2 linked regions of the Drosophila melanogaster genome follow. The protein of the gene in region 2 interacts with the protein of the main gene of each other region in a biochemical or structural test. Each region holds a gene or a part of one and is shown on either strand. Other genes may lie near its edges.

The links.
Region 1: of the proteins of Tnks (region 2) and PI31, one has a biochemical effect on the other in vitro, tested with the Drosophila melanogaster proteins (one study listed by BioGRID).

Annotation. Positions count from the first base shown.
Region 1 is NT_033778.4:11,966,725-11,971,979, reverse strand, and holds PI31 (proteasome inhibitor 31 kDa), read left to right. Parts: upstream 1-1,864; 5' UTR 1,865-1,954; intron 1,955-3,129; exon of another isoform or gene 3,130-3,240; intron 3,241-3,325; exon of another isoform or gene 3,326-3,500; 5' UTR 3,501-3,528; coding exon 3,529-3,696; intron 3,697-3,748; coding exon 3,749-4,143; intron 4,144-4,200; coding exon 4,201-4,450; 3' UTR 4,451-4,637; downstream 4,638-5,255. Other genes in the region: ADD1 (ADD domain-containing protein 1), read right to left, coding at 1-255, 374-842, 905-998.
Region 2 is NT_033777.3:25,658,275-25,663,425, forward strand, and holds the start of Tnks (tankyrase), read right to left. Parts: upstream 3,013-5,151; 5' UTR 2,514-3,012; coding exon 2,318-2,513; intron 1-2,317. Other genes in the region: RASSF8 (Ras association domain family member 8), read left to right, coding at 4,141-4,212, 4,360-4,733, 4,876-5,151. UniProt on the Drosophila melanogaster protein: Stimulates proteasome activity, probably by ADP-ribosylation of PI31. Modulates 26S proteasome assembly.

The sequences.
Region 1 (5,255 bases), on a different chromosome or scaffold from region 2:
GTGCAGACCACTTCGTTGTTGGAAGCTTTAGCGCGCTTGGATGGTGGTCCCGGAGGAATGGTTTTTGGCATGGATCCCCGTTTACTCGAGCCCGCTGAGCTGCCCTGGCTGCGTTTGGAGACATTGGACTCCAAGCTTTCCATCGAGTCGGATAAGCTGCTGGTTTTCGACTTCGCCAAGCGACAGCAATTGCTGTTATCCTTAAGCATTTGACGTCGGGCCTCCACCTCGGGAAGCTGAAGGGTTTGTAGGGCCCTGCATTACATTAAATAAGAAAAGTCAATTTAGAAAGAGATTAATCACTATGATAAGTGAATGAATGAAAAGACTTAAAGATGCCATAAGCATAGACAAGTAGGACTAAAAACCGCACCTTTTCTGCGTCTGAAGATAGTTGACCAGCGCCCAGTGTTGGGCTCGTAGTGGCCACAGGATCTTGGAGGTGCAGCTGAAGCAGTTCCAGTTCTCGTTTTGCTCGATGTCCACGATGACGCCCTTGGAGAGGTTCTTCACGATGCACGACTTGCAGAAGACGTAGGGGCAAGTGGAGCAGCAGTATACCTCGCCGCCCTGTCCGCACCAGCGGCAGTACAGCTCAGAGCCATCCTCGCCCTTGGAGAACTCGCCGCTGTTGTAAAAATCGTGGCACTTGACGCAGTGCGTCACCCGCAGTATGGGATGCATCTTGATGTTGCTCTCGGCGGCGGGTGCTGTGCCCAGGTGAAGCTTGCACACGGTGCAGTGCACCTTTCGCTGGTTCACCAGATCTACGTTGGGGTACATCTTCAGGTAGAAGCGGCGCTCCTCGTCTGAAAGCGAGGGGTGCATCTCGAACTTGGAGCCTGCGTTGCGGGTATATGCAATTTATATGCAATTTTCCACTTGGCTGATGCCCAGTACTCACTCGTGAAATCCGCATCCAATTTGGCCAGTGGCGATGGCGACGGCGTCGCTACCTTTGCCAGGCCACTTTCGCTACCCGGAGCACTGTTACTCATGACTTCTGTTCCGTATCCGGGCCTCTTGGACTAGAGCACTGCGATCCGCACCAATTTTTGTTCTAAAACGCGAAAAATTCACGATTTTCTGCTGCCGCCGCAGAAAAAAGCGGCGCGCTTATCACTTTTATGTTTGGCAACACAATAACAACAGGGCTGCAAGGGACGCGTGTTTACAATTATTTATTAGTTGGGCAAACCGGGAAAAAATATTATTGGGAGATCCTGTACTGAATGCTTCGCAGCAAGTCTCCTCGAAAATGTGTCAGATTTTTTCACCCGAGAAAGACAGCTGAATATTCCGCATCAAATTCAATATGGCTGCCCCTTCGGGTTCCAGCCGAAGTAGGCTCTACGAAGTCTATATAACAAGTTCGGACCGATACTCTAAAATTTTCTTAGGAAAACATGGCTAAAATTTTGATCAAAAAGAATATTTCTTTTTTTTTGGCATCAGAGGATCATTAAATTAGCTATAATATCACTCTAATATCACAACATTTATTGTAAATTTTTTTTAATCATTTCTATCGTTTTAAAGGCTGATAAATATATTTTATATTTTAAAGAATGTTTTCGTATTCGTTAGTCTTTGCAAGCCTTGGCAACCCTAAACTTACTAGTCATCTCTTTTACACTCATCGTCCGTCCATAAGAATCCGAACGCGTTAAGAAAGAGACAGCATATATGTGTTATTTACGAAAAACAAGAATTTTTTAAACAAATCAATATTCCAAATTGCTTTATATTTTTAACGTTTTAATTTCTCCCGCATAAGAAATATTTGAGATATCTAAAGCATTTGGCGAACTGGTTCCAGGCAATCGATATATGTGAGACCGTATAAACATATCGAGTTAACAGAATTAGTAAATCATGACTTCACATAAAATCATTAAAACAAGTTTTCAGAACGCAACAACTGATCTTCAGACAACTTTTAAAAATAAATCAAGTAAGATTTTGGAAACATAAATTCCACAATGTCAAAATATCAGTAAAAATAACTTAAAGTAACTCGAATAACTTGAACGAGGAAATCTTAATGAATAGTTGATCAAAATAATCAGTCAGAAATAGGGAATTTTATAATTGTACACATATTAGTAAGTCGTAAGGTTTCGTATTATGAACATGTAGATGTTGTACTAAGCATTTCCTATTACTATTTTAAATATATAAATATATAAATAGACATTTATATATAAGAATTTCTTTATTACAAAGTCAATTGATAGTCGCTCATCGTTTCTATGTTACAATTACTGTTTACTTTTCTTGACTTCTTCAAAATATTTAAAATATGAACATATGGATCACATTAGAAATTTAATAAATCTTTTATGTCTGGTATTTACGATATAAGCAAATTTATAACTAGCCCGAAGCAAATTCTGAATCCTTTGAAATACCTTGACAATTATGTTGCTAGTATTAAGTTAATGTTTTTATTATTTATTTATATATTTTTATTAATGTTTGTTCTACTCTCACAAAATTTTGTATATTAAAAGATTTAATATATGAAATCTGTATCGATAACTATATCGATAAATCACATTGAGATATTAGAAAATTGAAAAAGGCAATAAATTTTTTCCAGTTTTAATAAATAGTGATGGGAAACTATCGATAGTTGCGCCATTCGATATTTTCGATGTTTGGAGAGCAAATTTTCGATATAACTTTAAAATAATAAAAATATTAGCAATTTTAAATGTTTTTCTCAAATAGGTATAGTTACCTTCCAATATTCTAGAGGATCTGTATTTTCCTCTGAGTACTTCGGATTAAAAAGCATTACAAAATTTTTCAATGTCCTACGAGATGGAAGCTTATATCGCGTATCAAATGCTTTCAGTATATCGCGAAATCCATTGTCCTCCACTACTGAAAATGTGCGCATATCAGTGGCTATGTACATACTTCATGATAACTCGCCGAGTTCTGCTATCCGACGAGAACTCGAGTCGTAGCTTGGAGTCACACATTAAAACTTTTCCACATTGTGAATATTTCGCGGTCTTACCATCAGTTGATTTAACAAAAATGAACAGCACTATCGATAGCGACAAAAAACCATCGATAGTGGCTCAGAAAAGTAAATATCCGATACCTCGATAATATCGATTATCCCAGCACTAGTTCTATTTTCACAAAGATGCAGCAATATTAACAAAGTCATTTATAATTTATTATTATTTAAACAATATAGATCCTTTTAAAAAACATTGAGCTAAGGTACGTCCAAAAGATTTAAAATAAAAATTGAGAATGTGGTGGTAACTTGCTAAAAACAACTTCTCGCTCTTTCCTCATTATTTTGTTTACAAAACTTTTAAAGCAAAGGTTGTCTTGGAAATTTATTCAGTATTTATACTTTCTGTAGTGGGCTTCAGATATTGAAACTGACGTCGCTCCAAGCAAACGAAATGTAAACATATTTATATATACTAAGCATAAATTAGAACGTTCCATTCGTTCTGTTTACTCCCACCCAGATTTTGTAAAGGATTATCGGTGGCCGCAATGGAAAGTGGGTCGACTGCCAAGACGGGCGATTTCTTTTACGGTTGGGATCTGCTGTACAAGACCGTTAAGGCTGATGTCTCCAAGAAGTCAGACCTTTTGATTGCCCTCGTCCATTTTCTTTTGACCAAGCATTACAACTTCCGATGCGTTGGCGTTGGCGATGATGTGAGTATGATTATGGCCACGCATATTAGTGAAATCATCTGGAATTCCATAGAAAACCTTGCCGGAGGAGGAGGGCAGTGAGCTGCTGCCGGACAGCTGGAATGATGACGATACCAAGTACTCGCTGCGCTACGTGCACGATAAGATGCTGTATTTGCTGCTGGGCCACATCACCGAGGGCTCCCTGCTGATCAACCTGTTGGACATCAACACTAAGAAGGTATCCAACATCTGCGTAGAACCAGAGACCCTGGTACCTGAGGTCAAGGGAGGCATCACCACCATAATGCCGAGTGCCTCAGAGATTGTTGAACGCTACCGTAGGGAGCTTCTAGACCCTGTATTCACGGGAAACTCGCGCGAAGTTACCACGCAGACGACCAACTCACCACGCCCCATTGGATCGGATCCAGATCCCTTGCGCATCGGCGAGCCAAGGCGTGGCGGGTAAGAACACTTGTGGATAGTTTTTTATACACTCGTTAATCGTTTCCCCTCGTTTAGATCCTTCATTCCAAGTGCATTCGAGCCTCGCCCTTTTGGATTTCCGGACGTTGGACGCGGGGATCTCGATCCACTGGGTCGCGGTGGTCATGGTAACCTGTTCAGCTTTCCATCACGCCCAAATATGGGCCCGGGACCCGTGCCCCGCTTCGACCCGTTCAATCCCCTGAACCCGAATAGGCCGGGACAGGGTGGAATCAATCCAGATCATATGCGCCCACCAGATTGGAATCCCGATTACTACATGTAATTACCAGGAATGCCATGTATAGTGAGCAATTCAAATCTTTAGTTTAAAGCAATGAAAAAAGTTTTCATTTTAGAAGACCAAAATTAAACGGATTGTTTTAAAAGATTATTTTTATTACGTTGCATACACAATACAGAATATTACAGAATTTTACAGATATAAAATAAAAAACAGCAGCCTGTTAGACAACGCTTGTTTGAGTTTTTACTAGAAAAATTCGTAGTTAAGAACATTTATCAAGTAAATACGCAAACAGGCCAGTTGAGTTGACGGCTGCTCAAGAGAAATTTACAATATACTTAAAAGCTTAACTGAACTCGTGATGTAATGGCTATTCATTCATTTCGTACAACAGGGTAAACAAAATTGGCTCAAGTGCGTAATCTCAAAATTGCTAGGGGAAAAGCGCGAAAAATCACGGCACTAAATGTTACAATGGTTTGCGATTACTCTTGTTTTTTTTGTTGCTGCTTATGCCTAGCCTAATATTATTTTACCATAATATTTTGCTAAATTAATATAATGTAAATAATATTTCAAGCTGTGTGCAGCCGGTTGACTTAAATTAGCTCTGCACGGTAGGCGTCGTTCCCTCTCACGCCGGGATGTGCAAGTGTTGTGGTGTGTTTTGTGCCTTGGCCGCTCAAAATCCGGCTAAAATCCCGCCCAGGTGCGGTGTGAACTACGCTCAGTCCCATTCCCCGATGAACATGCGTGGCGTGGGCACGTAGCCGCGCGTTGGCAGCGGTAAATGGCGTCCGTAGATGTGATTGTAGGGTGATTCAACAAGCTCCGAATCTACAAG
Region 2 (5,151 bases):
AAGGTCTTGCCTTCGGGGATTTCAACCTTGTCCATGGCATACGAAAAGAAAGATATGTTTTCCGCATTTGCAGAACTGTTGCCCAAGGAAATCTCAAAAAAGTTTACATTAGCTTATGTTCAGTTGAAAGTAAACCTTACAATTAAATGATAAATAATCAAAATAAGTCGCATAATAATCAATATAAACGGATGACAGTTGTGATGATCCAACCGAGCCCCCGATTTATAAACATACTTTTGGCAACTTTTGCATTGTCAATGCCAGAAATCTGAGTCATCTTAATAGGGTACCGTAATTGGTCACACCAGAGATGATCAACATAAAATAAATGTTTATGATCGTACTTATTGCTACGTTTATAATGAACTGCAAAGAGAACCGGATCGAATTACAAATCTGGGCAAACAAAAGCTTGAGCCACCCACCAAAAAGTGGTTTGCGAAACGTTTGTGCCGTTCACTTTTCTGTGGGCAAACAATTACGAAAGTTTTGCATTAAAAATTAATAGAATGGAAAACTTAATTCCAACTGTTGCACTTGGAGCGTCAAAGCGCCAATTGCTCGCCACTTGGAAGTGTGATCCTTGGGACTGTGAACAATATATGAATAAAAACTGAGATATATGTATGCAATTTCAACTTGATTTGCAACTACCACCCCGAAGGTTAATTTGCACAACTTTTTGGCCAGCGATAAACGTATGTTTTAAGTATCTCGAATATGGCCAAGATATGGAGGGGAAGGTCTCTCCGGGTTTATCGACTATATTTACTATATATATGTACACACACACACATAAATGCCATGATAACGGGCCAATGTCAGAAAATCTGATAGTCGCAAAGAAGCGAAGTAAAGCGATTGCGTTTTACTATGTGTCACGATTGCGGGAAAGGAAGGAGGAAACGTGAGCTCCGTTTTGGTTTCCACCGCAACAGGTATTGTAAAACTTCGAGTGGCCAAAAATGTCATACATTCAACGAGGTGAAAAGCAGCCGCAATAAAATATATATAACTTAAACGCCACCCGACAATAACAGACCCCTCGAAGATCTCACTTTTTGTGCACAGAACGTGACAAAAAGACAGACGAACATAATAATGGAAAACCAGTTTATAGAAAGAAAGAAAGACCCACCGCCAGATAATAAAAAGTGCTCAAAACTTAAAAAAAAAAAGAAGTCACAAATGGCCAAAAGGCGAAATTGATATGCAAGGGGCGTCGAGTGAAACGGTTAGAAAAGCTTGATGGCATTTTTGGGGTATTGTTCGAAAGGGGTGAATGTGGATGGGGGATGGGGAAGGGAAAGACGTTTCTTTCCACTTTTGATTCGATGCTGCCGACTGACTAAATAAATCGCAATGCATAAAATGCTAACTAGGCCAAAGTCACAACAAAAGACGCGAAAATATTGAGCCAAAGACGTCAGCAGGATGGCGCATACAACGCAGCAGCCACAACAAGTCGCCCCACTGCCCACTGCCCCGCCCACCGCCCACTATCACTGTCACCCCCACAAAAACAGACACAATAGCAGTCGAAATAATAGTTAAAAAACATGCATGCTTGTATTACGAAGGATTAATCATTTGATCACTCACAGTTGAAAAATGTAAATAAAATAAATATGTTAGCACGAGTTATTTTGTTTACCCAATCTAATATTTAAAGGCCAAGCATCTAACTAAACCCTGCGAAACAGGTTAGCTATACAATCAGACCATATGTTGCAGACCTTTATCTATGGGATTCTACGTGTAAACAAACAAAGCTAATCAGATGATATATGTGTGTTAAACATTCAATTTCCAGTGCTGAGACAGTGAAAGCTCTCATTGAAATGGCTAATTATGCAGTGCTATTATCTCGACCGCAGCTGTATGAGTCTTTTTTGAAAATAGAAAATGCTTAAATGCAGCACGCACGCACACATGCAGCGGCAAAAGGGGCAGCACGGGGGATTCCCCTTTTGAGAGGGGGTCTTCCGGAAACAAGCCAAACATATAGAACACATAGAACGGTGGTGGAAGGAGAAGCAGAAGCAGAAGAGGAGGCAGAGCCAAAAGCAGAAGCGACATGGAAACTAGGTCAACTCTCGACGCCATTGGAGCAGGCGAGTGTCCGACCGAGAGCGACGACAATGACGCCCGTCACACCCAGGCGCAACTAGCTCAAGGCCAAATCCGCACTGCAGCGGGGGGTTTGGGCGAGTCCTTCAACCTTTCGTTGGGCGAATGGTGGGGTGGGCTGCCGTTTTTAGACCGTCCTTGGAAGGGATTTGGATGGGATCTAACCGCATCGCATCTCACTTACCCGCTGCGAAATGCAATGGTGTGGATTTGCGTCCCGCCGTATCCCTGGCGTTCACGGTCTGAGGCGTTATTAGCTTCTTCACCTTGGCGATCTCGCCCGTTTTGCAGGCCTCGAAGAGCTCCCTCAGCGGATCGTTGGCCATGACCGCATCGAGATTAACGCTCAAAATGGCCCGACTTCGGCTGCTGTTGGCCATTGTTGTGCTTGTTTGCTACGCTTTGGCACACACACGCCCCGAAAAAAATAGGCAACAAAAAACAAGCGCAATATTCAGTGGGCTTTCGGGTTTTCCACTCCCAGTCCAGTTCTCTCCTCCAGCAGTTGCTCTGCCCGTCCTACACAAGCCTCGCCGTTGTCCGTCGCTGGCTTGCCCGCATCCTGTATCCAGGTGTCCTGCCTATGCCGCAGGAGCAACAATTTGCCACTGGCTGCCACGCGACCAGCCCTCGTTTTTGCTTAATATTTAATGCACAATTGCAGACCCAAAATCAATAGGATTTCTTTGGTTCGACACAGCACGGTTGCAAGGATCGCGGTTGGCTACGATTCGTTTTTACTGAGACTGCGACCAACTCTGGGACTAGCTCCCTGGTACTTGGCCTCCAAAGCTCTGGGCACGGACGATTATTTCCGGATTAATTCACTGCTCCGCGAAATATTGCATTGTTTTGTGACCGAGTAAGAGTGACCGTTCGCGGGGTGGTCGAATATTCCAGGTTGAGTCAAGCGGTGTGACCAGGCGACGGGGCAAGCCATTCTGAAAAAATACTGAAGTCCTCGAATCACATAAGCTTTTCCATTAATTATATTTTTTAAATTTAATAGCTTATGTTCTCACAAGGTTTTACACAAATTTGTGCTTCAGTGTGCACTCACTATTTGGTGAAAAGCGAAAAGACGTTTGCATCTATATTGTGTTATAAGAAACAATTTTTTTTGTTAACCAAATAGACAATATTCAATTGGTGGTACAAAAATTAAGATCATCATTTTTATGAGCTTAAATTAGAATTCTTAAATTAGAAAAGGCCATGTAGGAATTTCAATTATCCTAATATAAGCACATAAGCCTATTACTAGGGAAAAAATCTCAAAAAAATTTTTTAAAATAATAGCAAGTACCTGTTACAACAACATGCAATCCCAATTGGCATTGCTATCGATAGCTTGAAAAACACCTGTTTGGCCATCCCTGGTTGGCTGTTGGTGCAATCGATTTTTGGCATCGACTGGATGCCCATGCCAACAACAATGTTTGCTTTTAAAATTTAGATTAAATCCGTTAAAAATCCGTGAAATCAAAACAAAAGCAGTGGAGCTGCTTCACAACAAGATTATCGTGCTTACTAGAAAGTGAAGAACCACGGAGTTACCGCGCCGGAAGTACAAAAGTAATCACCAAATCGGAAATCCGAAAAGTGAATCAGAATTTTTCTAGCTCACACACACACGCGCGCATACCCGCACGCCCAGCAAACACTCATGCAAGCGTATGGAACCAGTCGTGTTGTTGTTGTTGCTGTGAATAAGTGCAAGTGAAGAAGAAGCAGAAACTGTGATCGGAAAATTAAGCAAAAAAGAAAAACAGGCGAGGAAAAGTGGGGTTGGGGAAAAGCAGACGGAAAAGTGGAAAGGCGGAGTGCAGCTAACACGCTTCGCTGGCTGCGCGACAGCAGAACGCCAGTCAAGCGCCAAAAACCATTAGTAGAACCCCATTTCCAGCTGGAGCGGCACAAGAAAGCAATTTTCTGGTAGCAGAAACACCAAGAAACGAAAATAATTGGCCGATCTTTAGAGACTCGACTCGACGACAATTAGCCGGAATGGAGCTGAAAGTTTGGGTCGAGGGCATCCAGCGGATAGTTTGCGGCGTTACAGTGAACACCACATGTCAGGTATGTGAGCTACAGCAGAGGTCAAAATAATAGCACTATTATCTTGTTAAAGCATTTTACACTGCTGCAGTGCTGTTAATGTGACCCGAACTGTATGCGCTCTGTTTGCTAGTCAGTTTGCCCTAATTATCGTTTTATTTTCCACAGGATGTGGTTTTTGCTTTGGCCCATGCCACTGGAAAAGTGGGCAGATTCACTTTAATCGAAAGGTGGCGCAATAACGAACGCCACCTGGCCCCCAATGAGAATCCAATGAAGCTGCTGCTCAAATGGGGCGAGTATGCAAATGATGTGCAGTTTATATTACAACGTTCGGAAAACAAAACACAGCAGCAGCAGCAGCAACAACAACAGCAGCAGCAGAACAATAATAATAATAACAACTATGCTGTGATGACAACAACAAAAAAGCCGCTGGGGCCGAACAACAATAACAATAATAAGCCAGCGCCCACTTTGCTAAAGCAAAAGTCGAACGTCGAACTCAGCTACCGCACAAAGGAATTGAAAAAAAGTTTCGGGTGGGTGGTTTTTATATGCTAGTTAGTTTGGAAACTACCCCTTAAAGCGCTTACCTAGCCCTAATTGTTAATAGGCTAACAAACTGTGTTTAAATATGCACCTGTGCGGCTACCATCAACTGACAAAACTTGTCTCTTTCAGGGGCCACGATGCCAAGCAGTTTGACAACATTGGAATCGTCAAGGGAATTCCGCAGCAGCAGCAATTGCAGTCACAACAAACGGCCATGGGAGCACCGGCGAGTCCACCACAGGAGCAGCTGACACCGCAGGATAACAATAATGTAGCACCACTGGTGCCAAAGCATGAGAAATCGCTGTCCAATCCGCTGGACATGACCAGCACGGGTAGCAATCCACCCGCACCTACAAATGGCTACAATGACTTCTACAACAATAACAGCAGCAGTAATCAGCA